4 linked regions of the Saccharomyces cerevisiae S288C genome follow. The protein of the gene in region 4 interacts with the protein of the main gene of each other region in a biochemical or structural test. Each region holds a gene or a part of one and is shown on either strand. Other genes may lie near its edges. The genes, in order: MCM7, HMLALPHA1, MATALPHA1 and MCM1.

The links.
Region 1: the proteins of MCM1 (region 4) and MCM7 form a complex in vitro, tested with the Saccharomyces cerevisiae proteins (one study listed by BioGRID).
Region 2: the proteins of MCM1 (region 4) and HMLALPHA1 form a complex in vitro, tested with the Saccharomyces cerevisiae proteins (one study listed by BioGRID).
Region 3: the proteins of MCM1 (region 4) and MATALPHA1 form a complex in vitro, tested with the Saccharomyces cerevisiae proteins (one study listed by BioGRID).

What each region holds. Positions count from the first base shown.
Region 1 is NC_001134.8:624,078-631,711, reverse strand, and holds MCM7 (DNA replication licensing factor MCM7), read right to left. Parts: upstream 5,941-7,634; coding exon 3,403-5,940; downstream 1-3,402. Other genes in the region: COS111 (Cos111p), read right to left, coding at 1-2,544; MIN7 (Min7p), read left to right, coding at 7,016-7,219; DER1 (derlin), read right to left, coding at 7,501-7,634. UniProt on the Saccharomyces cerevisiae protein: Acts as a component of the MCM2-7 complex (MCM complex) which is the putative replicative helicase essential for 'once per cell cycle' DNA replication initiation and elongation in eukaryotic cells.
Region 2 is NC_001135.5:8,795-14,309, forward strand, and holds HMLALPHA1 (transcriptional co-activator mating type protein alpha), read left to right. Parts: upstream 1-4,487; coding exon 4,488-5,015; downstream 5,016-5,515. Other genes in the region: VBA3 (basic amino acid transporter), read left to right, coding at 912-2,288; YCL068C (uncharacterized protein), read right to left, coding at 2,709-3,491; HMLALPHA2 (homeodomain mating type protein alpha2), read right to left, coding at 3,592-4,224. UniProt on the Saccharomyces cerevisiae protein: Mating type proteins are sequence specific DNA-binding proteins that act as master switches in yeast differentiation by controlling gene expression in a cell type-specific fashion. Silenced copy of ALPHA1 at HML.
Region 3 is NC_001135.5:195,985-201,469, reverse strand, and holds MATALPHA1 (transcriptional co-activator mating type protein alpha), read right to left. Parts: upstream 1,029-5,485; coding exon 501-1,028; downstream 1-500. Other genes in the region: transcription initiation factor TFIID subunit TAF2, read left to right, coding at 1-296; YCR041W (uncharacterized protein), read right to left, coding at 227-559; MATALPHA2 (homeodomain mating type protein alpha2), read left to right, coding at 1,292-1,924; Ras family guanine nucleotide exchange factor BUD5, read left to right, coding at 1,921-3,849; PHO87 (SPX domain-containing inorganic phosphate transporter), read left to right, coding at 4,285-5,485. UniProt on the Saccharomyces cerevisiae protein: Mating type proteins are sequence specific DNA-binding proteins that act as master switches in yeast differentiation by controlling gene expression in a cell type-specific fashion.
Region 4 is NC_001145.3:352,299-358,133, forward strand, and holds MCM1 (transcription factor MCM1), read left to right. Parts: upstream 1-1,572; coding exon 1,573-2,433; downstream 2,434-5,835. Other genes in the region: ARG80 (Arg80p), read left to right, coding at 305-838; IOC4 (Ioc4p), read left to right, coding at 3,086-4,513. UniProt on the Saccharomyces cerevisiae protein: Transcription factor required for the efficient replication of minichromosomes and the transcriptional regulation of early cell cycle genes. Activates transcription of ECB-dependent genes during the G1/M phase.

The sequences.
Region 1 (7,634 bases), on a different chromosome or scaffold from region 4:
TGTTTTTAATATTGTCAACCTGAATTGTAAAGATTCTGCTTCGAGATTGGAATCAGAAGTAGCATCAGCCTCAGATCCGGCCCCATATCTAATATCAAATAAGTTTGATATTTCGAGAATATCCGGGTCTCGGCAACAATAGTTTTTTATATATAGCTTTTCGGACTTGATATTAAAAAGCTCTTCTAATCCTAAATCATCTAAATTTGAAAGATGATCCATAACCATCAATGCGACAAATTCATGCAATTTGGCATTACAAGCCCAGGAAAAATTTCTATCCAAGCCAGAGTCCCGGAAACTGAATAAGTGTCTTTCATAAGAGTTGTTTTCCATGGATTTATAATCCAAATGCTGGCGAAACGTCCTCATTACAAAATACTTTACCATATATTGCCTGCACCACACAATGTCATTCATTTTCACCTTAGTTAAGGAGCAGTAGCCACCTTTTTCTTCATTTCTATTGCAGATCATTTCAAAAATTTCAAAAGGGTTTAGCTTCTTTAATACGACGTTCTTATTGTTCAAGGTATTGTTGCGTCTGTGTTCCTCTCTTGTTTTCGTTTGTGCATCGATTGGAGGTGGGTAATCTGTCCAATTCGCCTGACCTCCAATCCAACTAGATGGATTGGTACCTAGGCTTGAAGAACGTGAGTGTTTCTTGCTTAACCCCTCATAATATTCATAACCTTTGCCAGAATCGGTCATATAGACAATTTCTAAATCTTTCTCAGGGCCTGCAGAAACACTAGACTCCTGGACAGCGGGCAACAGTGAAGATGTCATCCTTCTTCTTTCGGATCTTTGGTTGATTAATTTGAAATCGGTACAAATAACTAAATTGGAAAGGTTTAGTTCAACAAGGTTAGGACACAGGTTCAGCATATGTAAAATATAACCTAGGGGCAGATCTTTATAAGGAGCGTACTTTAAAAGAAATTTGTTGGCATACGGATGATGCGTACTAAATGGTTGTTCAATGCTAAATTTTAATGTCGAAGAACGATAATTGGATGGATGCCCCGAATCGTGCTTTAAAACTTTAAAGTCATCGTCAGACTTATCCTTCGAGTTCTTTAAATTAATCGTATTAGCTGTCCTTGCCTTTCTATTTCTTGAACTTAACCTCATTCTAAACCAGGAAGATGACGTAATGTCAGATATAGGTTTTGCTTTCTGAGGAGATGACCTTGTGGACTTCGCAGAAGCTTTTTTCAATGATCCAGCAGTGGAAACTCTTGACAGATTACTACCAGAAGAGATGTTACCATTGCTGGTATTAGACGTGGTTGAAGACAATGAGACATGGGAGGTGTTATAGATGGATGACATGATACTCGTCGTTATGGAAGCAACGGAACTATTGGAACGTTGTCTCCTTGTAGAGTGAACACCGGTGGAATTTCCAGAAGATGTAGAAGTGATAGAAGAAGAACGAGAAACCACTTTTTTCAGTTTAAAGCTGTTCAACAGAGGAGAGCTATAAAGGGGTTCATTTCTGTATCTCCAGTCTCTCCAACCAGCTAATGCCAAGTCTTCAACTTCACTGCCATTTGAAGCGTCGTCTTTGATTAATCCGCTATTGGCATCATCCTCGTTAGAAATGGTAGATGTTGGAGTAGCTGGAGGTAGATTCAAACTTGTGTTAGTAGATCTGCGGCGACGGCGTCTGTGACGCCTTGAGTGGCCATCATCGTCTAGGCCTTGAGAATCCTTCGAGTCTTGGCCTATAATTCCCGGCTTCAAGTGTGATAGGTCCAATACTTTCACGTATGCCCCGTTATCCGGATGTAATCTTAGTGAGGTGACAAACTGCGCCACTCTGTAAGTGGAAGTGAAGTAAGGTAGCCTATAAAGGACGATCTTTGTCGCCTTATAAAACTTCTTCGATACGTATAGACATCTTACGAGTGTCTTTTGATCACGACCTAACTCGAATTCAGAAAGTATTTTGGCAATTATTTCAACTGGTAAATCGTTGATATCGGCAAATTTGCCCCAAGCATGGTATTTTCTCTTCCTCAGCTTTTCAAATCTGGAATTTTCATGTTTACCAGAATGGGAAGTCTTCAGAGAAAATATAGAAAATGAGTCGGATGAAGCACCATGATCGTACAATTTATTCATAAATTTTTTTGAAGAGGTGGAGATTAAGGATTTATACTTTTTTTTAATCCTTGATTTCCTTGAATTCATCGTTATGATAGTTTCATTATCTAAAGATGTGACGTCGTCACTGCGTCTCTGACCTATGGAAGCCAAATCATCAGGAGCGCTGGATTGATTTTGATTGCTGAGTGGAGATTTGAACGTCGATAAGGGTGATTGACTCATTGATCTGGAGCAATTTGAGCCATGACGCTGTTTGCTCCTGGACTTTTGTGAGATAGATGACAGTTTACCAACTGTGGTAGAATTCTTACCAGCATTATTGCTACCACTGCCGTTACTATGATACAACTTATCGTAAACGGAAGTTCCGTAACGAGAATAGTTGTTAGAAACAATATTGACGTTTTGAAGTCTTGAAGCACTTGACATCAATACACTCGACCTTGTTTAGTGTACCTTTTTTTCTTTCTCCTTTTCCCCTCTTGCTTCGAGTGTCTATATAGTTCCTCCCCGCAAATATTCTTCAGCTAAAAATACTATCGTCCGGGATTTTCAAGAATAAAAAAATATCTTCAAATATAATCTAGTAAACGGAATAAAATAGGACTACCGTACTGAGCGGACAGGTTTGTAAAGGTTATATTAGTTTGAGAGTGGGACTATATATATATAGACTATATAAATATATATATATATATACTTATATTTTTGACAGTAGGGATGGAGATCGATGAATGTTGCCTTCACATGTTAATGAATGAAAAAAATTTTACTGTCTGCGGGTCCCCTAAAAGTCCTCTTGGCGATAACAGAATGGGTGCCGGCAGGTATCTCAAATTCGGATTATTATCAAGCGCTACGAATTATTCTGAGAACAATCTTTTCATTTTCTGGAAGAACTCCGCACGGTGTACTCTCTGGTATACTCAGGGGCTGACGGTACCCTGTAGCACGGCTCTCCACAGGCACATCTGAGCAATACTAGCTGGCCCTATTCCGCTTGAAGATAATTTTCCTTTCTCCGCAAAAAAAAAAAAACAAGAATTGGGCCGCGGTGCACGGACATGCGCAGTCATAATGTTAAGTCCGAAATGTGTGGGGTCTGTGGCTGGCAAAAGCGATGAATAATATTAGTAAAATTATAATAATACAGAATACATATCTTGAAAACTGGGCCTTGGAAGTAAGTTACAGAAGGTAAATTTGAATGTGCAGCTATATGGAAATGAAAAAAAGGGGGAAAAAGAATAAAGAATGAAGGCCCTGTTGCTTTTTTTTTTAGAACTTTCAAGCGTCTTGTAGATCGATATCAGAATCTTGGGCGCTCACATTAGCGGAAGCGGTCGTTTGTGGTGCGAGTTTAGGCGTGCTCACTAGTGAGTCTTCCTGGTCTGTGTCCATGGTACCGTCATCCACGAATTTCAAAGTGTTACCCTCATTAATTAAATGCCAGACGTTTAAGTAAGAATATTCTTGGATACAGTTGCTTAATTGTAGCATGGTAAACCCTCTTAGTCTTACAGTTTTCACAATATTTTCATATGATAGCGTGTTTTTACCAGTTTCTTGTAACATTTTCTTGATGATCGTAAAGATTTTCGTTGTGGGGCTTTCATCTTCTTTAGATTTGTTGGTTTCTTGATACAATGATTCCTTGGAGACTCGGACCAACCTCAAGGCTTCCTCCACATCATCTATATCCACCATATCAGCCAACCTTAACTTTGCTAGCGCTTGAGATAATCTTATAATACCTAGTAAAGTTCTCGGAGTGGCTTGACCAAAGGAAAATTTGGAATCCATTTCTCTCTTGGAGTCTTGTCTTAATCTGATGTAAGCTTGCACCACATAATCGTTTACAGCTTCACTCATCACTGGCCTCTTTGTCTTAGCATAGGCAATGTACTCTCTCATTTTAGAGGGTTCTACTGGAGTGAAGTCCAAATCCGGTTGTTTATTATGCATATGCACATATGTAACGTGCTCGGCTAATTTTTCGTCGTCATCTCTACTTGGTATATCTAACATTAAGAAGAGAATATCAAATCTGGATAGTAAAGCAGCTGGTAGATTTATATTGTCCAGAGGTGATAATCTAGGATTATATCTACCATACAACGGATTTGCTGCCGCTAAGATTGAGGTTCTGGCGTTCAAAGTTGTATTGATACCCGCCTTGGATATCGAAATTGTTTGTTGTTCCATAACTTCATGGATTGCCGTTCTGTCACTTTCATCCATCTTATCAAATTCATCGATACAACAAATACCGTTATCAGCGAGTACTAAGGCACCACCTTCTAGAATCATTTCATCCGTGACAGGATCTTTCATGACGGCAGCGGTCAGACCAACGCCTGAGGAACCCTTACCAGTGGTATACACTCCTCGAGGTGATATTTTGCAAATGGCCTTCAGCAGTTGAGATTTGGCAACACCGGGATCACCCATCAGACAAACATTGATATCACCTCTGATTTTCATACCGTCACCTACCCTTTTATCAACACCTCCGACAAGTAATAGCAGCAACGCTTTCTTTACGTCCAAGTTACCGTAGATTTCCGGTGCAATAGATTTTGCCAGCCTATTATAAACATCACCAGAGGTGATTAATTCCATAACTCTCTCTTCTACATCAGAAGTCAGACTGAAAGACGCAAATTTCTTCTTGTGTTGACGGACAAACTGTGCCTCTAAATAAGTTTCTGTCAGTAAGCCAGCTTTCAAAGCTTTGAAACCGGTGTAGGGCGCTGGCAAGAATATACCAGTTACATCGACGATATCACCAGGCGATAAAGATCTTACCAGCGTCCCGTTAACGTGGATATTTAGCGACCTAGGAATATGACCCACTGGCACTTGTTGTGATAACTCCTGAATTTTACATTCCTGAAAGGCACTAAATTTGGAAGCTCGTGTACTCATAAACAATTGACCCTTTGTTTGATTTTGGGAACATTCTTCGGAAGTACATTCTGACAACGGAGTAAAAGTACGAGAGTTGACCTCTTGGAAAACTTCGTACCCACATTGATCGCAGGTATATGCGATAACTTCCACAGCTGGTTTGACATCAGAAACTCTGGTGATAATACCTCTGACGGTAATCAATTGGCCTAGGAAGTCACCTTTAATCTGCCTAACAGATAATGGTTTAGAACTAATTGCTTTCTTCCTGTAACGACGAGCACAATTTTGCGATAGAGGCTTAAAATAAAGGAAATAGCGTCTAGTTAAATTAGGAGGAAATAACTCAGTTTCATCCTCGACAACTTCTCTTAACGCATCATTCATGGAAGAGGGTGGATCCATCGTGGTATCCATGAGGTTTTCGCTTCGGATCTCATTGGTCCTGTCCGAGAGCATTCTCTCATTCCTCAGTCTCCTTTGGTTTAAAATAACATCAAGAACGTCGTCCTTGTAGTCAATTTCTTTTGTTGGTAGCGGCATGTTGTTGTCAATGGCACGGCAAAATAATTCAGTGAAGTGATTAGCGTTTTGTTGAATGGCAGACACAAGGTCGTCTGCCTGTGTGCCCTGGAGAAACTTTTCGTTTTGATACTGTAGAATGTCATCTAAATCAATAATCACGGAATTCAGTTCCCTATTAGCCACTTTCTGTAGCATCGCCATGTACTTGGGCCCCTTTTCCAATAGATGTTGTTCGATATTCTCAGCATCCAAATTTTCATCTTCGTTCTCATTTCGTGTTGCATCAGAAGACAACGTATCCTGCTTGAAAGTCACCAAAAAATCGGTGATTTCATTAAAAAGATTATTATAGTCGACAGGAAGCTGAATTGATGGAAGTGCCGCACTCATAATCTGGTCTATCTGTATTGAGTTCTTCCTGCAAGATTCAAGCTAATCTAGGTAGTGATTATATTGCCTTTCTAAATGTAAGTTATTGGTAAAGACGTGTATGTAGCCTGCTACTGTAGTACATCTCGCTCTGGTCCTTTGCTTGTATCTCACTTTCGTGAAAAAAGAAGCAAACCGACTTAATGAATTGCATTTATTTTCCTTATAAGGAAATTTCCTTTCTGGGTAAATTAGTTAAGAAAAATTTTTTCGAGGCCGTGAAAAACGCGAAGGCTTATACAATGTATTATGAGTGAGTAATAAGTAGCATTCAAGGGTAGAAGGGGCCTCGACCTGTTATTGAGAAAATATACAAGAAGCGCTTATTATATTCGAGTAGCGGCTACGTTGACCTAGCAGGTATCCCGTGGGTAATAGTTTAAGTTATGACATTCACACCACTTTAGAATTTACTTACTCTTTTACCCTCTCTGTCTCTCGTAGGGTACATTTCTTTGTGCTTCTATTCTGTTGCTCTCAGACAAATTTGGAAGTTTTACAGTAAATTATTTTTACTCTTTTCCTTGTCGTCGTAATCAGTGAGGTATCCTGCCTGGTACCTTCCCCTCATTTTTGTACGAAGTATAAACAAAAGCACGGAAAAGGGGAAGCTAAGGAAAGTGAACACCTGTGCTTCGCATTGTTTGCTGCGATTAAAAAAGGTAATACAAAGGCAACTTTAAGCTTTTGTACCGTATCGGCCTATCATAATAGAGAGCCCGCGCACTTCCTAAGAAAGGCAGTTCGTTGCAACTCTCCGGTGGTTTCTTCGCCACTGCAAGGAAGACAATAGCTCGAGAAGGTCATTATTGTTGGAAATATGTTAATTACCATAGCAACAGCAAAATATTCCTAATTCTCAGAGTTATATAAGCAGGGTATATAATAGGCCATCTGCAAACGGACACCAAGTTTTTTTTCTTCTTTCCTCTCCTCTCCTCTCTTTTATATTCCACATTTATTCCCTGTGACAAGGCGAAAACCAAGAATTTTTTTGTAATATATAGGAAATATCACAAAAGATCGAGGACTAACAATGCTGGCCATGAAATCATTTTCACAAGTTTCTAAATCATACAAGGCAAGTGCTCCCAGTAAAAAGCTGACGACGTTGTTTTATGTTGCTTACATCACTCTGGGACTAACAACACCTTTCCTTCTACCGGCCCGAATGGCTTCTAAAGACACACACTACTACAAGGACGAATTTTGTTCTCAACGATCATACACCAGGTTTTAGAGTCTTTCGAAAATATGGGTTATCATTAGGGAGAAAATTACCGAGACTTTTTCGGCTACTTATTTATTCTGCATTTATACATTTGAGACAGGTTCTTCATATTATTTTTAGTTTGTGGGATTGCAGTTTTAACTGTACTGTTTTCACATCTTTCATTCATTCTAGTCAACGTTTCATTTATCCTTGGCCTATTTTATATGTAGTTATTTATGCTAAGTATGTTTGTTTATCAAGCGTTCACTTTTGTTATTGGTTTTTGGTAAATAAAAACGGCCTTTCCTTTAGGGTGTTTCAGTGTTGCGGAACCAGTCGTACGGAGATTTACACAAATCGATGCCATAAATCTTCCCTATTATATCATCCATGTAGTAAATTACGTGACCTGGCATGAAATTCATGGCAATTTCTAACCAGC
Region 2 (5,515 bases), on a different chromosome or scaffold from region 4:
TTGAAACAAGGAAAAAAATGCGGTGCCTGTCGACAGGATATGCGCACAAGTGCAAAATCATCAAAAAATTGAGTACCTAGATCCGGTGGTGTAGGACGAGCAAAGTTCCTTCATAAACAAACCGTAAGGGTTACTGATACACAATTTCCTTTTTGTAAAGAGTATTTGAGCAAATTAGTCAGCGATTGAAAACAACACCCTTTTTTCTATATATAGTAGGTGAAAGTTAACATGCGAGTAAAAGTAGTGCCACATTTCCTTTGCAGCAGGTGCAAATTGGTACATATTTAACAGATAGCGCCGCACCTCATATGCAGCGCGTACATGATACGAGACGACAAGATATGCAAAAGATAATAGTGTCATCACACCTTTATGAGAAGCGAATTTTTTTTTTTTTTTGGTTTAAATATATATATATACATATATATAGATATAGATATACACATGTATAGATGTATTCTAGTTATGCTTATACCTAGAACTGATCAGACCAGATCATACCTGGTATAGAGCTTAATCGATAGAAATTCAAAAATATGGAGGAAACTAAGTACTCTTCGCAGCAGGAGATAGAAGAAGCATGTGGTTCAGACGCTTCATTGAATGCTAGAGGTAGCAATGATTCTCCAATGGGACTTTCCTTGTACCTCTGCCTGGCTTCGTGAACTCTTGTACTATTCATAACTGCACTGGATATTTTGATAGTGGGAACTATTATTGACGTGGTCGCAGAACAGTTCGGAAACTACTCCAAAACAGGTTGGCTCGTTACAGGCTACAGTTTACCAAATGCTATTCTGAGTCTCATTTGGGGAAGATTCGCATCTATCATAGGTTTCCAGCATAGTCTCATTTTAGCAATACTTATTTTTGAAGCCGGATCCCTAATTGCTGCCCTTGCCTCTTCAATGAATATGCTCATTGTCGGTAGAGTTGTTGCTAGTGTTGGGGGAAGCGGACTTCAAACGCTTTGCTTTGTTATTGGTTGTACGATGGTTGGTGAAAGGTCACGTCCATTGGTGATTTCCATCCTAAGTTGTGCATTTGCTGTAGCTGCTATCGTTGGTCCTATAATCGGAGGTGCCTTTACAACCCATGTTACCTGGAGGTGGTGCTTCTATATCAATCTTCCTATCGGTGGTCTTGCCATTATTATGTTTTTACTCACATATAAGGCCGAGAATAAGGGTATACTTCAACAAATTAAAGATGCTATAGGAACAATCTCGAGCTTTACTTTTAGTAAGTTCAGACACCAAGTTAATTTTAAAAGACTTATGAATGGCATAATCTTCAAGTTTGACTTCTTTGGTTTTGCCCTCTGCTCTGCAGGGCTGGTCCTTTTCCTACTGGGGCTAACCTTTGGTGGTAATAAATATAGTTGGAACTCTGGCCAAGTCATCGCATATTTGGTTTTGGGTGTCTTACTTTTTATTTTTTCATTGGTGTACGATTTCTTCTTATTCGATAAATTCAACCCGGAACCTGATAATATATCCTACAGGCCTCTCCTTCTAAGAAGATTGGTAGCAAAACCAGCCATAATAATAATAAACATGGTAACATTTCTATTATGTACCGGTTACAATGGGCAAATGATATACTCTGTCCAGTTTTTCCAACTTATATTTGCGTCGAGTGCATGGAAAGCCGGTCTTCACTTGATACCAATCGTTATTACCAACGTTATTGCGGCCATTGCAAGTGGTGTGATTACCAAAAAGCTCGGTTTAGTTAAACCACTCTTAATATTTGGAGGCGTTCTTGGGGTAATTGGAGCAGGGCTTATGACACTTATGACAAATACGTCCACGAAGTCAACTCAAATTGGTGTTTTGCTATTACCGGGGTTTTCCCTTGGATTTGCTCTACAAGCATCGCTCATGAGTGCACAGCTTCAAATTACCAAAGATCGTCCAGAAGCTGCTATGGACTTTATTGAAGTAACAGCTTTCAATACATTCATGAAGTCATTAGGTACAACTCTTGGTGGTGTGCTTTCAACCACTGTTTTTTCCGCCTCCTTTCACAACAAAGTATCACGAGCTCATCTAGAGCCTTACGAAGGAAAAACGGTTGATGACATGATTTTGTATCGTCTTCAAAACTACGACGGTTCTCATTCGACTATTGGAAACATTTTAAGCGACTCCATTAAGAACGTATTTTGGATGGATCTAGGGTTTTATGCCTTAGGATTTTTGTTTTGTAGTTTTTCATCCAATAAGAAATTAATCATACCAAAAAAGGACGAGACACCAGAAGATAATTTAGAAGACAAGTAGCGCAGTTATTTTCTTATTTTCATTTTATTTTTTTCGCCTTTTATACAGACTTCAACACAATCAGAATCAAATAGGTGTATCGCAATGGAATGTAATTTCTTAAGTATTCTATATGTACTTAAAACCTATTAATATATGGATCAACACAGTATCTTATGAATGGGTTTTTGATTTTTTTATGTTTTTTTAAAACATTAAAGTTTTCGGCACGGACTTATTTGGAATTCAAATTATTAATGAAAGAACAATTAACTAATTAATGTACTTAGTATTTGGCCATTATTATCGATTTCGGGGGCCAAATCTAACCAAATTCAACCTACATTTTTTCAAATTGATTCAAACACCTTTCACAATAAGATTTTTATATCTAGCGCACATAGAATGAAATGTAAACAAAGATTTCAGAAAAATCGTCATTCAAACTTGTATTAGACGAGGGACGGAGTGATTTTTGTGTTTGTTTTTATTAATTGTGGGATAGGATAGTAGCAACTCTTGGAGGAGAGCATTGTCAGTTGTCCAGTCTCTGAAGTTAAGTAGTAAGTTTGCGGAGTCAAAGGGGGATGGCTTTTGCCATTTGTGAGAGTTGTGCGGCAGCATCTTATTCAAATAGAGCTGTATTCTGAAGACCTCTTGTAGAACATCATCCATACTAAAAAGTAAATCGTCCTGTCCCATTACGAGCTGTAGTAGTGCTGTGACCCTCTGTATATTTACGTTGCCATGAAGAAGGTAATGGGCGATATTTTGATACAATTCCTGAGTTGCATGTTGGATTGAGTTTACGAAGGGTCGCCAGACGGCCAGAAACCTCCAGGCGGAGTTAACAACTAGTAATACGGCATCCATGTTTGCATCAGCGCCGAGCCTATACCAGTCACTGAGTAGACGTTTTCTTGCTCTTTTTATGTCCTGACTTCTTTTGACGAGGGGGCATTCTCTAGAGACACAGGCAGTTGCTTCCAGCAACTGCCGTACGGCCGTTCTCATGCTGTCGAGGATTTTTTTTGGGACGATATTGTCATTATAGGGCAGTGTGTGACTTATGAATTGTTGTAGAAGGACGTCTGTGATGTTGGAGATATGTATTTTGTTAACTCTTCTTGAGACAATTTGGCCCTGGATAGCGAAGCGTGCGGTTACAAATAGGTCGTCTTGTTCAAGAAGGTAGGCGAGGACATTATCTATCAGTACAAACATCTTAGTAGTGTCTGAGGAGAGGGTTGATTGTTTATGTATTTTTGCGAAATATATATATATATATATTCTACACAGATATATACATATTTGTTTTTCGGGCTCATTCTTTCTTCTTTGCCAGAGGCTCACCGCTCAAGAGGTCCGCTAATTCTGGAGCGATTGTTATTGTTTTTTCTTTTCTTCTTCTATTCGAAACCCAGTTTTTGATTTGAATGCGAGATAAACTGGTATTCTTCATTAGATTCTCTAGGCCCTTGGTATCTAGATATGGGTTCTCGATGTTCTTTGCAAACCAACTTTCTAGTATTCGGACATTTTCTTTTGTAAACCGGTGTCCTCTGTAAGGTTTAGTACTTTTGTTTATCATATCTTGAGTTACCACATTAAATACCAACCCATCCGCCGATTTATTTTTCTGTGTAAGTTGATAATTACTTCTATCGTTTTCTATGCTGCGCATTTCTTTGAGTAATACAGTAATGGTAGTAGTGAGTTGAGATGTTGTTTGCAACAACTTCTTCTCCTCATCACTAATCTTACGGTTTTTGTTGGCCCTAGATAAGAATCCTAATATATCCCTTAATTCAACTTCTTCTTCTGTTGTTACACTCTCTGGTAACTTAGGTAAATTACAGCAAATAGAAAAGAGCTTTTTATTTATGTCTAGTATGCTGGATTTAAACTCATCTGTGATTTGTGGATTTAAAAGGTCTTTAATGGGTATTTTATTCATTTTTTCTTGCTTATCTTCCTTTTTTTCTTGCCCACTTCTAAGCTGATTTCAATCTCTCCTTTATATATATTTTTAAGTTCCAACATTTTATGTTTCAAAACATTAATGATGTCTGGGTTTTGTTTGGGATGCAATTTATTGCTTCCCAATGTAGAAAAGTACATCATATGAAACAACTTAAACTCTTAACTACTTCTTTTAACCTTCACTTTTTATGAAATGTATCAACCATATATAATAACTTAATAGACGACATTCACAATATGTTTACTTCGAAGCCTGCTTTCAAAATTAAGAACAAAGCATCCAAATCATACAGAAACACAGCGGTTTCAAAAAAGCTGAAAGAAAAACGTCTAGCTGAGCATGTGAGGCCAAGCTGCTTCAATATTATTCGACCACTCAAGAAAGATATCCAGATTCCTGTTCCTTCCTCTCGATTTTTAAATAAAATCCAAATTCACAGGATAGCGTCTGGAAGTCAAAATACTCAGTTTCGACAGTTCAATAAGACATCTATAAAATCTTCAAAGAAATATTTAAACTCATTTATGGCTTTTAGAGCATATTACTCACAGTTTGGCTCCGGTGTAAAACAAAATGTCTTGTCTTCTCTGCTCGCTGAAGAATGGCACGCGGACAAAATGCAGCACGGAATATGGGACTACTTCGCGCAACAGTATAATTTTATAAACCCTGGTTTTGGTTTTGTAGAGTGGTTGACGAATAATTATGCTGAAGTACGTGGTGACGGATATTGGGAAGATGTGTTTGTACATTTGGCCTTATAGAGTGTGGTCGTGGCGGAGGTTGTTTATCTTTCGAGTACTGAATGTTGTCAGTATAGCTATCCTATTTGAAACTCCCCATCGTCTTGCTCTTGTTCCCAATGTTTGTTTATACACTCATATGGCTATACCCTTATCTACTTGCCTCTTTTGTTTATGTCTATGTATTTGTATAAAATATGATATTACTCAGACTCAAGCAAACAATCAAAGAAATCTTTCACTGCTCTTTTCTGTGTTCCATTTAGTTTTTAGTACGATTGCATTGTCTATATACTGTATTTACCAAATCTTAATTTTAGTCAAACATTAATGTTTACTTTCGTATTTAAGGATGTGTATACTAAGCCTTGGGAAAATGCGTGTTCCTTGTGCCATCCGAAAGCTACTTCATAAAAAAGATACTGTTCATTTTCAAGCCCGCATAGTTGGATCAAATATTAACTATATATCAACATGGTCCAAAGATCGTAAGTTTGGTCTAATGTTGTTTTAGCAAAAAA
Region 3 (5,485 bases), on a different chromosome or scaffold from region 4:
CTGTGGAGGCACCCAAGAAGGCGAATAAGATAAAGATAAGTTTGAAAGGTGATAAACCTGTTAGAAAAGTGGAAAAACAAATTGTGAAGCCGAAGGTAACTAGCAAACAAAGGAAAGTCAAAAGTCATGTGAACCGCATGGGCAGTTTACCTTTACGGTTTGTTAAGATCCAACAACAACCTAGAGTAATGGTGCATTTGTCATCCGTCCCGTATAGCCAATTCGTTCAAATTACAAAAGTCACATCAAGATCGTTTATGGTTAAGATAAGAACAAAGAATGATGCTAAGAATTGATTGTTTGCTTGAGTCTGAGTAATATCATATTTTATACAAATACATAGACATAAACAAAAGAGGCAAGTAGATAAGGGTATAGCCATATGAGTGTATAAACAAACATTGGGAACAAGAGCAAGACGATGGGGAGTTTCAAATAGGATAGCTATACTGACAACATTCAGTACTCGAAAGATAAACAACCTCCGCCACGACCACACTCTATAAGGCCAAATGTACAAACACATCTTCCCAATATCCGTCACCACGTACTTCAGCATAATTATTCGTCAACCACTCTACAAAACCAAAACCAGGGTTTATAAAATTATACTGTTGCGCGAAGTAGTCCCATATTCCGTGCTGCATTTTGTCCGCGTGCCATTCTTCAGCGAGCAGAGAAGACAAGACATTTTGTTTTACACCGGAGCCAAACTGTGAGTAATATGCTCTAAAAGCCATAAATGAGTTTAAATATTTCTTTGAAGATTTTATAGATGTCTTATTGAACTGTCGAAACTGAGTATTTTGACTTCCAGACGCTATCCTGTGAATTTGGATTTTATTTAAAAATCGAGAGGAAGGAACAGGAATCTGGATATCTTTCTTGAGTGGTCGAATAATATTGAAGCAGCTTGGCCTCACATGCTCAGCTAGACGTTTTTCTTTCAGCTTTTTTGAAACCGCTGTGTTTCTGTATGATTTGGATGCTTTGTTCTTAATTTTGAAAGCAGGCTTCGAAGTAAACATATTGTGAATGTCGTCTATTAAGTTATTATATATGGTTGATACATTTCATAAAAAGTGAAGGTTAAAAGAAGTAGTTAAGAGTTTAAGTTGTTTCATATGATGTACTTTTCTACATTGGGAAGCAATAAATTGCATCCCAAACAAAACCCAGACATCATTAATGTTTTGAAACATAAAATGTTGGAACTTAAAAATATATATAAAGGAGAGATTGAAATCAGCTTAGAAGTGGGCAAGAAAAAAAGGAAGATAAGCAAGAAAAAATGAATAAAATACCCATTAAAGACCTTTTAAATCCACAAATCACAGATGAGTTTAAATCCAGCATACTAGACATAAATAAAAAGCTCTTTTCTATTTGCTGTAATTTACCTAAGTTACCAGAGAGTGTAACAACAGAAGAAGAAGTTGAATTAAGGGATATATTAGGATTCTTATCTAGGGCCAACAAAAACCGTAAGATTAGTGATGAGGAGAAGAAGTTGTTGCAAACAACATCTCAACTCACTACTACCATTACTGTATTACTCAAAGAAATGCGCAGCATAGAAAACGATAGAAGTAATTATCAACTTACACAGAAAAATAAATCGGCGGATGGGTTGGTATTTAATGTGGTAACTCAAGATATGATAAACAAAAGTACTAAACCTTACAGAGGACACCGGTTTACAAAAGAAAATGTCCGAATACTAGAAAGTTGGTTTGCAAAGAACATCGAGAACCCATATCTAGATACCAAGGGCCTAGAGAATCTAATGAAGAATACCAGTTTATCTCGCATTCAAATCAAAAACTGGGTTTCGAATAGAAGAAGAAAAGAAAAAACAATAACAATCGCTCCAGAATTAGCGGACCTCTTGAGCGGTGAGCCTCTGGCAAAGAAGAAAGAATGAGCCCGAAAAACAAATATGTATATATCTGTGTAGAATATATATATATATATTTCGCAAAAATACATAAACAATCAACCCTCTCCTCAGACACTACTAAGATGTTTGTACTGATAGATAATGTCCTCGCCTACCTTCTTGAACAAGACGACCTATTTGTAACCGCACGCTTCGCTATCCAGGGCCAAATCGTCTCAAGAAGAGTTAACAAAATACATATCTCCAACATCACAGACGTCCTTCTACAACAATTCATAAGTCACACACTGCCCTATAATGACAATATCGTCCCAAAAAAAATCCTCGACAGCATGAGAACGGCCGTACGGCAGTTGCTGGAAGCAACTGCCTGTGTCTCTAGAGAATGCCCCCTCGTCAAAAGAAGTCAGGACATAAAAAGAGCAAGAAAACGTCTACTCAGTGACTGGTATAGGCTCGGCGCTGATGCAAACATGGATGCCGTATTACTAGTTGTTAACTCCGCCTGGAGGTTTCTGGCCGTCTGGCGACCCTTCGTAAACTCAATCCAACATGCAACTCAGGAATTGTATCAAAATATCGCCCATTACCTTCTTCATGGCAACGTAAATATACAGAGGGTCACAGCACTAATACAGCTCGTAATGGGACAGGACGATTTACTTTTTAGTATGGATGATGTTCTACAAGAGGTCTTCAGAATACAGCTCTATTTGAATAAGATGCTGCCGCACAACTCTCACAAATGGCAAAAGCCATCCCCCTTTGACTCCGCAAACTTACTACTTAACTTCAGAGACTGGACAACTGACAATGCTCTCCTCCAAGAGTTGCTACTATCCTATCCCACAATTAATAAAAACAAACACAAAAATCACTCCGTCCCTCGTCTAATACAAATCTGGGTAGAGTCTTATTGGCAAGATAGTGAGACAACATTAAAAGATATCCTCAATTTTTGGTACAGTCACTTGGCTGAATATTATGAATACCAAGAACTGTTTGCAGACATAGTTCAGCTGTTTATAAACAAAAAAAGAACGAGGCAATTGAAGATTCATTACATTGGTCTAACTGATAAGGAAATCGAAGAAAATAAACCGCCCCTGGACTACGAAAACTTATTTCTCCAATACGAGATAGACAAAACGAACGCAAATGATGAATTGTGCGGTGCAACTGACCTCAGTGATTTACTTTTCCAATGGAAACAGGGTGAACTTCTAGAAGTCGAAGCCTTCGCTCTAAACGTATCTCCATGGTCACTTGCAAAGACATTGACTCTCTTAGAATCTTCTCTTTACTTGGATATTGAAACAATAGAATTCACAAGACATTTCAAACACAACGATACAACAATTGACTCCGTGTTTACGCTTTCCAACCAGTTATCGTCCTACGTTCTTGAGACAACTTTGCAGCAAACGCACACCATTTCCTACTGGTTACAAGTTGCACTGTCTTGTCTATACTTACGAAACTTAAACTCACTTGCTTCAATCATTACATCATTGCAAAATCATTCAATAGAAAGACTATCTCTCCCGATAGATGTTAAATCAGACCACCTTTTTCAGCGCCTAAAAGTCGTCGTACATCCAAACAACAACTACAACGTTTATAGAAGAACAATTAAACATATTTTCCACAGTCAGCTTCCTTGTGTACCTTTTACATCACTGCTTATCAGGGACATTACCTTCATAAGAGACGGAAACGATACATTCACTAAAGATGGTAATAACGTGAATATGCAAAAGTTCAACCAAATCACAAAGATAGTCGCTTTTGCGCAATATTTACAACAAAAGCAATATGAAGATATACACTGTTCAAATACTACTGCAAGAAGCTTATTAGGGGCTATGATAAAGGTGCACACTTTATATAACGACAACAAAGACAGGGCGTATCAAGTCAGTATAGCTAAGGTTCCAAGGCTTACCTAAAAACAGAACTGTTCAAAGAAAGATGACTTCCTTTTGCTTCTTGTACGCTCACAAATAATTAATATTCATGTTTAGTACTGAAAATTAAGAATACTTGCATAACTACAGTAGATAATATTTTTTGATAAGAAACCAGACGTAAATTAGATGTAATCTTTTACAGATATTACAGTCAACTTAATCAATTACCTAAAAAGGTTTAAGATTGTGCATAGGAAACGTTTCAATTACCGTATCTTTAGGCTACCGCCTCTTTCTTATTTTCCCTTACCCTTTTTTCAATCTAATTAATTGATGATTTCGCACGTGGGAAAAGTAATCCGATGCATTGAAAAATTATTACCAGAAAACAGTGTTTCACACCAAAAAAGCAGTCAGCTCTCAGATAAAGGTGCAGCAAAACTACGGTAAAGGCGGCTATTATTGTGCCTCGAAATGAGATTCTCACACTTTCTCAAATACAACGCTGTCCCTGAATGGCAGAATCATTACCTAGATTATAACGAATTGAAAAATTTGATCTACACATTACAGACAGATGAATTGAAACAAGAAACGCCAACCGGTGACTTAAACGATGACGCTGACTCTCAGACTCCAGGTCCAATCGCTGATATAGAAAGCAACATAGCTGCAGGAGAACCATCTTCATCGAAAAGAAGATTTACACATAAACTCAAGCGTAAGCTCTTTGGTTCTAAAACACCTTCAGGAAGCAAAAGGGGAGACTCCGACGAAAAGGCCATAGATGGGAACAATATTAACGAGGAAACAATTGAGTTAGACGAGTTATCTCCTCAAGGGAAAACCACCTCTTTCAATAAGAATTTTATACGTAAGAAATTCTTTGAATCACGCAGCTCATCTGTGAGTAGCGAGGGAAAGACGCTCTTCAGTTCTTATGATACATTCGTAACTAACCTGAGCGACGAGAAATTGAAAGTAGATGATTTCTACAAAAGAATGGAAGCTAAGTTCTATGAAAGATTTGACCACTTGATTAATGATTTGGAGAAGGAAGGCATTGTAACAAGATTGAATGAAACTTTCAATCCTGAAATTCAAGCATTGCCTCCTTTAAGAGAAATTATTTCTGGTACATCAGAGACACATTCATCTAATAACCCATTTGAAATACACTCTTCAAACATCGACAGTGAATTGAGAAATAGGTTTGATTACAGCGAAGAAGAAATGGATGAAGATGATGACGTTGACGTGTTTGCTGACACTACCGACAATACCGCCCTCTTGAATTATTCGCAATTTAACATTAAATCTCAGAAAAAGTCATTATTAAAACAGACAATAATAAATCTTTACATAGACCTTTGCCAGTTGAAATCTTTTATCGAATTGAACAGAATGGGTTTCAGTAAAATTACTAAGAAGTCTGATAAAGTATTGCACATGAACACTAGGCAAGAATTAATAGAAAGTGAAGAATTTTTCAAAGACACCTACATCTTCCAGCATGAAACTTTAAGCAGTTTAAACAGTAAAATTGCACAACTTATTGAATTTTATGCTGTTCTCATGGGTCAGCCTGGGAACGTAGATTCATGCAAGCAAGAGTTAAAGTCGTACCTGCACGACCACATTGTTTGGGAAAGAAGCAACACATGGAAAGACATGT
Region 4 (5,835 bases):
GAGAGCGCCAGACTGAAGAAATACTTCGGTCAAGTTATCTGGAGGTCCTGTGTTCGATCCACAGAATTCGCATTAATTTTTTTTTACTTTTCATTCGTTTTCCTCTTTTGGTGATGAGCAGCATCACAGAAGCGGGTGGGTCATCCATTATTAGACGGTAAGTGAAAAAAATTTGATGATTCAGGTGAACCGCTATGGAAAGGCACGTAGTTCTACTTACTCCTAGCAAGTAGCTATGCGATTTTCCTGCGCCATTTTTTTTCCCACATTAGTTACATACACTCTCTAAAGAATATTGCTAAATATGACGTCGAATAGCGACGGTTCAAGTACCAGTCCAGTTGAGAAACCAATTACCGGCGATGTTGAAACTAATGAACCTACCAAACCAATACGGCGGCTTTCAACGCCATCGCCAGAACAAGATCAAGAAGGCGATTTCGACGAAGAAGACGATGATGACAAATTCAGCGTGAGCACATCAACTCCCACCCCAACCATAACGAAAACTAAGGACAGCAGCGACACAAGTACGGTTACGAGGCGGAAGCAGCCGATCAGGTACATCGAGAATAAGACCCGGAGACATGTCACCTTCTCGAAGAGGCGGCACGGGATCATGAAAAAAGCATATGAGCTCTCCGTCCTAACCGGCGCCAATATTCTGCTTCTAATTCTGGCAAACTCTGGCCTGGTCTACACTTTCACAACGCCTAAGCTCGAGCCGGTGGTACGGGAAGACGAGGGTAAGAGCCTCATCAGGGCATGCATCAATGCTTCAGACACTCCTGACGCTACCGACACGTCGCCGGCACAGGAACAATCTCCGGCAAACTGAACATGCGAGAGTAAGAGATGCCCCACGAAGGCATAGGCAGATCCATATAGCACAATACGCGCATATAAAGTAGCATTGCTGCCAAAGGGGGTTGCACAAGGAGTTGCCCTCCTTCGGCACGCGGCTCGGAACATACCGGAGTGTCCCCCTTTGAGTAATTTTTCTCAAAAGAGGCACTTTTGCGCTGGGCCGCAGGAAATTTCCCTTTCTGTTCAGCACCTGTTGTCCTATATTAAGCTGTGCCAAACAAGGTCATCTCCAAATACTTACCAAAAAGCTAGGGCGTACTGTACTGGAATCTCTGCTTTTTTCTTTACCTTACTTCAATTTGCCTTGTCTGCTTTTTTACGTGTGTTTTGGCGTTTCTGCTTTTCTTTTTTATTACTCGTTGTTGTAAATCATTTTCTAAGTATTATACATACTATATCATCGCATACCCAATCGGTTTCCTATTCTCACCACTTTTTTCTGGAAAAATACATAGCCTAACAAGCAATTTTATTTTACGTTTGTTAATTCATTATACTGATAATATTTTTGAATTTTTTTTTTTTTTGATACATTTTTTTTAATCGCTGTTTTGTCTGTTTTTTTCGATTCAGTTATAGGGAAAAAAACGGGAAAGGAAAGAGAAAAAAAAATTAGTGCAGAGCAATAAGAAGCGAAAATCAAAAAAAAGTTTTGGATCTGCAAGACTTGCTGTCACGCAACAATATTATAGCCACCCAGCAAAAATGTCAGACATCGAAGAAGGTACGCCTACTAATAATGGGCAACAGAAGGAGAGAAGAAAGATAGAAATTAAGTTCATCGAGAATAAAACAAGGCGCCATGTGACATTTTCCAAAAGGAAGCACGGTATCATGAAAAAGGCGTTTGAGCTTTCTGTTCTAACGGGGACCCAGGTCCTGTTGCTAGTCGTTTCAGAAACAGGTTTGGTATATACTTTCAGCACGCCGAAGTTTGAACCTATAGTCACGCAGCAGGAAGGTAGAAACCTGATCCAGGCCTGTCTTAACGCCCCTGATGATGAGGAAGAAGACGAGGAGGAAGACGGTGATGATGATGATGATGATGACGATGATGGTAATGATATGCAACGCCAGCAACCACAACAACAGCAACCGCAACAACAGCAACAAGTATTGAATGCACACGCAAATAGCTTAGGCCATCTAAATCAAGATCAGGTACCGGCAGGCGCGCTGAAACAAGAGGTGAAGTCACAATTGCTAGGCGGTGCCAATCCTAATCAAAACTCAATGATTCAACAGCAGCAACATCACACGCAGAATTCACAACCACAACAGCAACAGCAACAACAACCACAGCAGCAAATGTCACAGCAACAAATGTCACAGCATCCTCGACCACAGCAAGGAATACCACATCCGCAACAATCGCAGCCACAGCAACAGCAACAACAACAACAACAACTGCAACAGCAGCAACAGCAGCAACAACAACAACCCCTCACCGGCATTCATCAGCCTCACCAACAGGCTTTTGCCAACGCTGCCTCCCCCTATCTGAATGCTGAACAGAATGCTGCCTACCAACAATACTTTCAAGAACCGCAACAAGGCCAATACTAATCTTATCGATTTCCGTATATAATTCATAGACGAGCATTAAGAGGAAAAAGCTGTTTCCGTACCAATTAAAGAAAGATAGACAACAAGAACAAAAACGTACATTACTCTATATTGAAAAAAGCCCTATGTCGGTAAAAGAATAGGAAGTACCTTAGTCATCGGCACTTACCTTTTTTTTTACGATTACTTCTGGTTTGTTTCTTTGCCTCATTTCATTTTGCTGCCACTTTCTTTCATAGGCAAGAAGATTCAATCAAATCTCCCCTTCTCCTTCCCCGGATATATAAAATATAAATATAAAACTTTAAGAATATAAAAATATGAGAAACCACACATAACTTGTATACTTTACTCACATACACACATTTCCAAAAAAATTATAATGTTAATTACATTGCTTTTAATGCTAATCTTTTTTTAGTTGTATAATCATTACCATATAAATGCCTCTCGGTCTAATTTCATTGCCAGTATTGTAAGTTATATACTTTTATACGAGTGTACGGAAAATATCGTGGCTCCCCGTTAACAGTGAAATAAATCTACGCATGTAGCTGCCAGTTTTTTAAGCGTTATATCAATATTGGTAAAGTAAGAATTGACGAAGAAATTGTTAACTACATTTTTCAGAACGGCGTGTCATTCTCCGATAATGTCTGAAGCGATATTCCAGCCAACGGACATTGTCCTTGCCAAAGTTAAAGGCTTTTCAGCATGGCCAGCAATGATTATCCCTAATGAACTCATCCCAGATAACATCCTCAAGACCAAACCTGTGAGTGTCCACAAAGGCAAATCAGGTAGTGATAAAAAAGCAAATGAAGATATAGATGCAGACATGGAATCAGAGGCTAGAGATCGAGAGCAAAGCGAAGAAGAAGAAGATATAGAGGATTTTGGTGAGAGTGAGGCTAATCCTGAAAAATTTATAATATACACTCCCGTTCTGAAGTTTCGTAAAAATGATACGTTGAAATCGACTTACTGCGTCAAGTTTTTTTGCGATGATTCTTATATCTGGGTGAAGCCCATGGATATGAAGATTCTAACAAGCGAAGATTGTCGTAAGTGGCTAAGCGGCAAACAGCGGAAGAATAAGAAACTCATACCGGCATATGAAATGGCTATGAGAGGCAAAAATGGAATTGATATTTGGGAATTTGTGGAATATGGGTCTTACGGCAAGCCAGATGAAGAGGAATATGTAGAGGAAGAGGAAGAAGAGAACGAACCTGAAAAAAAGGCTATAAGGCCAACCAGGTCTTCCAGTAGACAGCGTCAGAAGCGCGCCTCAGAAACGGAAAAGAGTGAGGGCGGTAATAGCAATAAAAGGAAAAGAGTTACTAGATCGACTAGGCAACAAGCGATAGATGCTTCAGAAGAGGAAGAGGAGGAAGAGGAGGAAAAAGTACAAGAGGCTGTTAGAAAGAGGCCGCAAAGGACCAAAACTAAGAAAGTTGTAGTATCCAAGACTAAACCAAATCCAAAAACAAAGGCAAAGAAAGAGAAACCTAAACCACCTAAGCCAATCAAATATCATTTTGAAGATGATGAAGATTGGAGCATTGTTGGGTTGGGCCCACAAGATCTATCAATCGAAAAAACGATGGATCCGATTGCGAAAAAACTGTCGCAGAAGAAAAATCTAGAAAAGCATGTGGAGATTAAGCTAGATCTGGAGGATAAACTAGCAGGTATCAACAAGCTCCTGTGTGATGTCTTATGTTCAGCCATTAACCAGGCTGTTTCGATAAAGGATGATTTCGAAATAATATTAGATGAATTGCAGATTGCCCTTGACACCAGGGGGTCCAGAAACGAATTTATAACAATTTTCCAATCAAATAATTCCCTACTGTTAAACTTTAGGATATTATTTAACTTAAGAAAAAGGGAACTGAACAAATGGGATCTGTGGGATCGTTTCCAGGATATTTTCAAGCATATTTATTCCTACCAGTTCATACCTGATACGGAAGATTGGCAACTAGAGCAAAATATGGAAATTGAAGAAATGGATCGGGAAAAGCCGAGCTTTAGTGAAGACGTAAAGGAAGAAGAAAGCAAAGTAGGAGCATGACCTGTTGCTATTGCAGTTGATGTACTCTGCTTTTGAACAATAGAGGGGAAACCTGTGTACTATAAAATAGACTAAAACTATGTAACTTGTGTATGTTCTGATATGTATGACGCAGTCTTTGATAGTCCAAAACTCACCTAGACTGTGCTGTATTATTACAATTAAAGTTCTAAGTCTGTTGTGCATTATCATTTGAGAAATGGGGGAATGTTGAGATAATTGTTGGGATTCCATTGTTGATAAAGGCTATAATATTAGGTATACAGAATATACTAGAAGTTCTCCTCAAGGATATAGGAATCCTCAAAATGGAATCTATATTTCTACATACTAATATTACGATTATTCCTCATTCCGTTTTATATGTTTCATTATCCTATTACATTATCAATCCTTGCACTTCAGCTTCCTCTAACTTCGATGACAGCTTCTCATAACTTATGTCATCATCTTAACACCGTATATGATAATATATTGATAATATAACTATTAGTTGATAGACGATAGTGGATTTTTATTCCAACATACCACCCATAATGTAATAGATCTAATGAATCCATTTGTTTGTTAATAGTTTGAATGTTTTTATCGGAAGAGGTTTGGTCATTACGTCTGCAATATTCTTTTTGGTTTCGATATAGCATACGTGCAGATGATTTCCTGATACTTCATCTCTCAGTCTCATTGCTTTAGTACCAAAAAATCTGTTTCTAAATTTCTCTTCATTATTGGATATAATTATACTGATTGTAGATTTACTGTCGGTTAGTAATCCTTTGGTAATTGGTTTCTTGTCGAGTTCTTGTATCAGGTAACTTAGATTATTTAATAATGGGACAGATTCACTTATTGCGTGTATTTCTGCTTCCGTAGTTGAAGTACATGTTAATGAAGCCTTGGTGGACTTTCCTCCAATTACTTTTCCATTAAGTAAATATATGTTGCCAATTTGTGATTTATAATACGGTTGGTTACCATACGATGCATCGCTTATAACAACTAATTTATTTGTTGGCTTAACAGGTTTGCTTTTGTGCCATATTAATTGCTTATCTCTCGTATTCCATATGAACTGTATCAATTCATATGTCATATCTAACACTTGCTTGGACGGAAATAGTATATGTTGTGCAAGTGTGTTGATGTAGTATAATAGGTCAAATCTAAATTTATATCCAACATATGATGCTAGACCTATCAGCTTTTGCATTTCATGTACCTTCATTTTGTAATCATCTTCTTCTAGCTCTAGTTCTTGCTGGTCTATATATAGACCTGGTTGACCTGGAGCGCTAAGTTTCCTTCCTTTTGGGTTCAAAGGT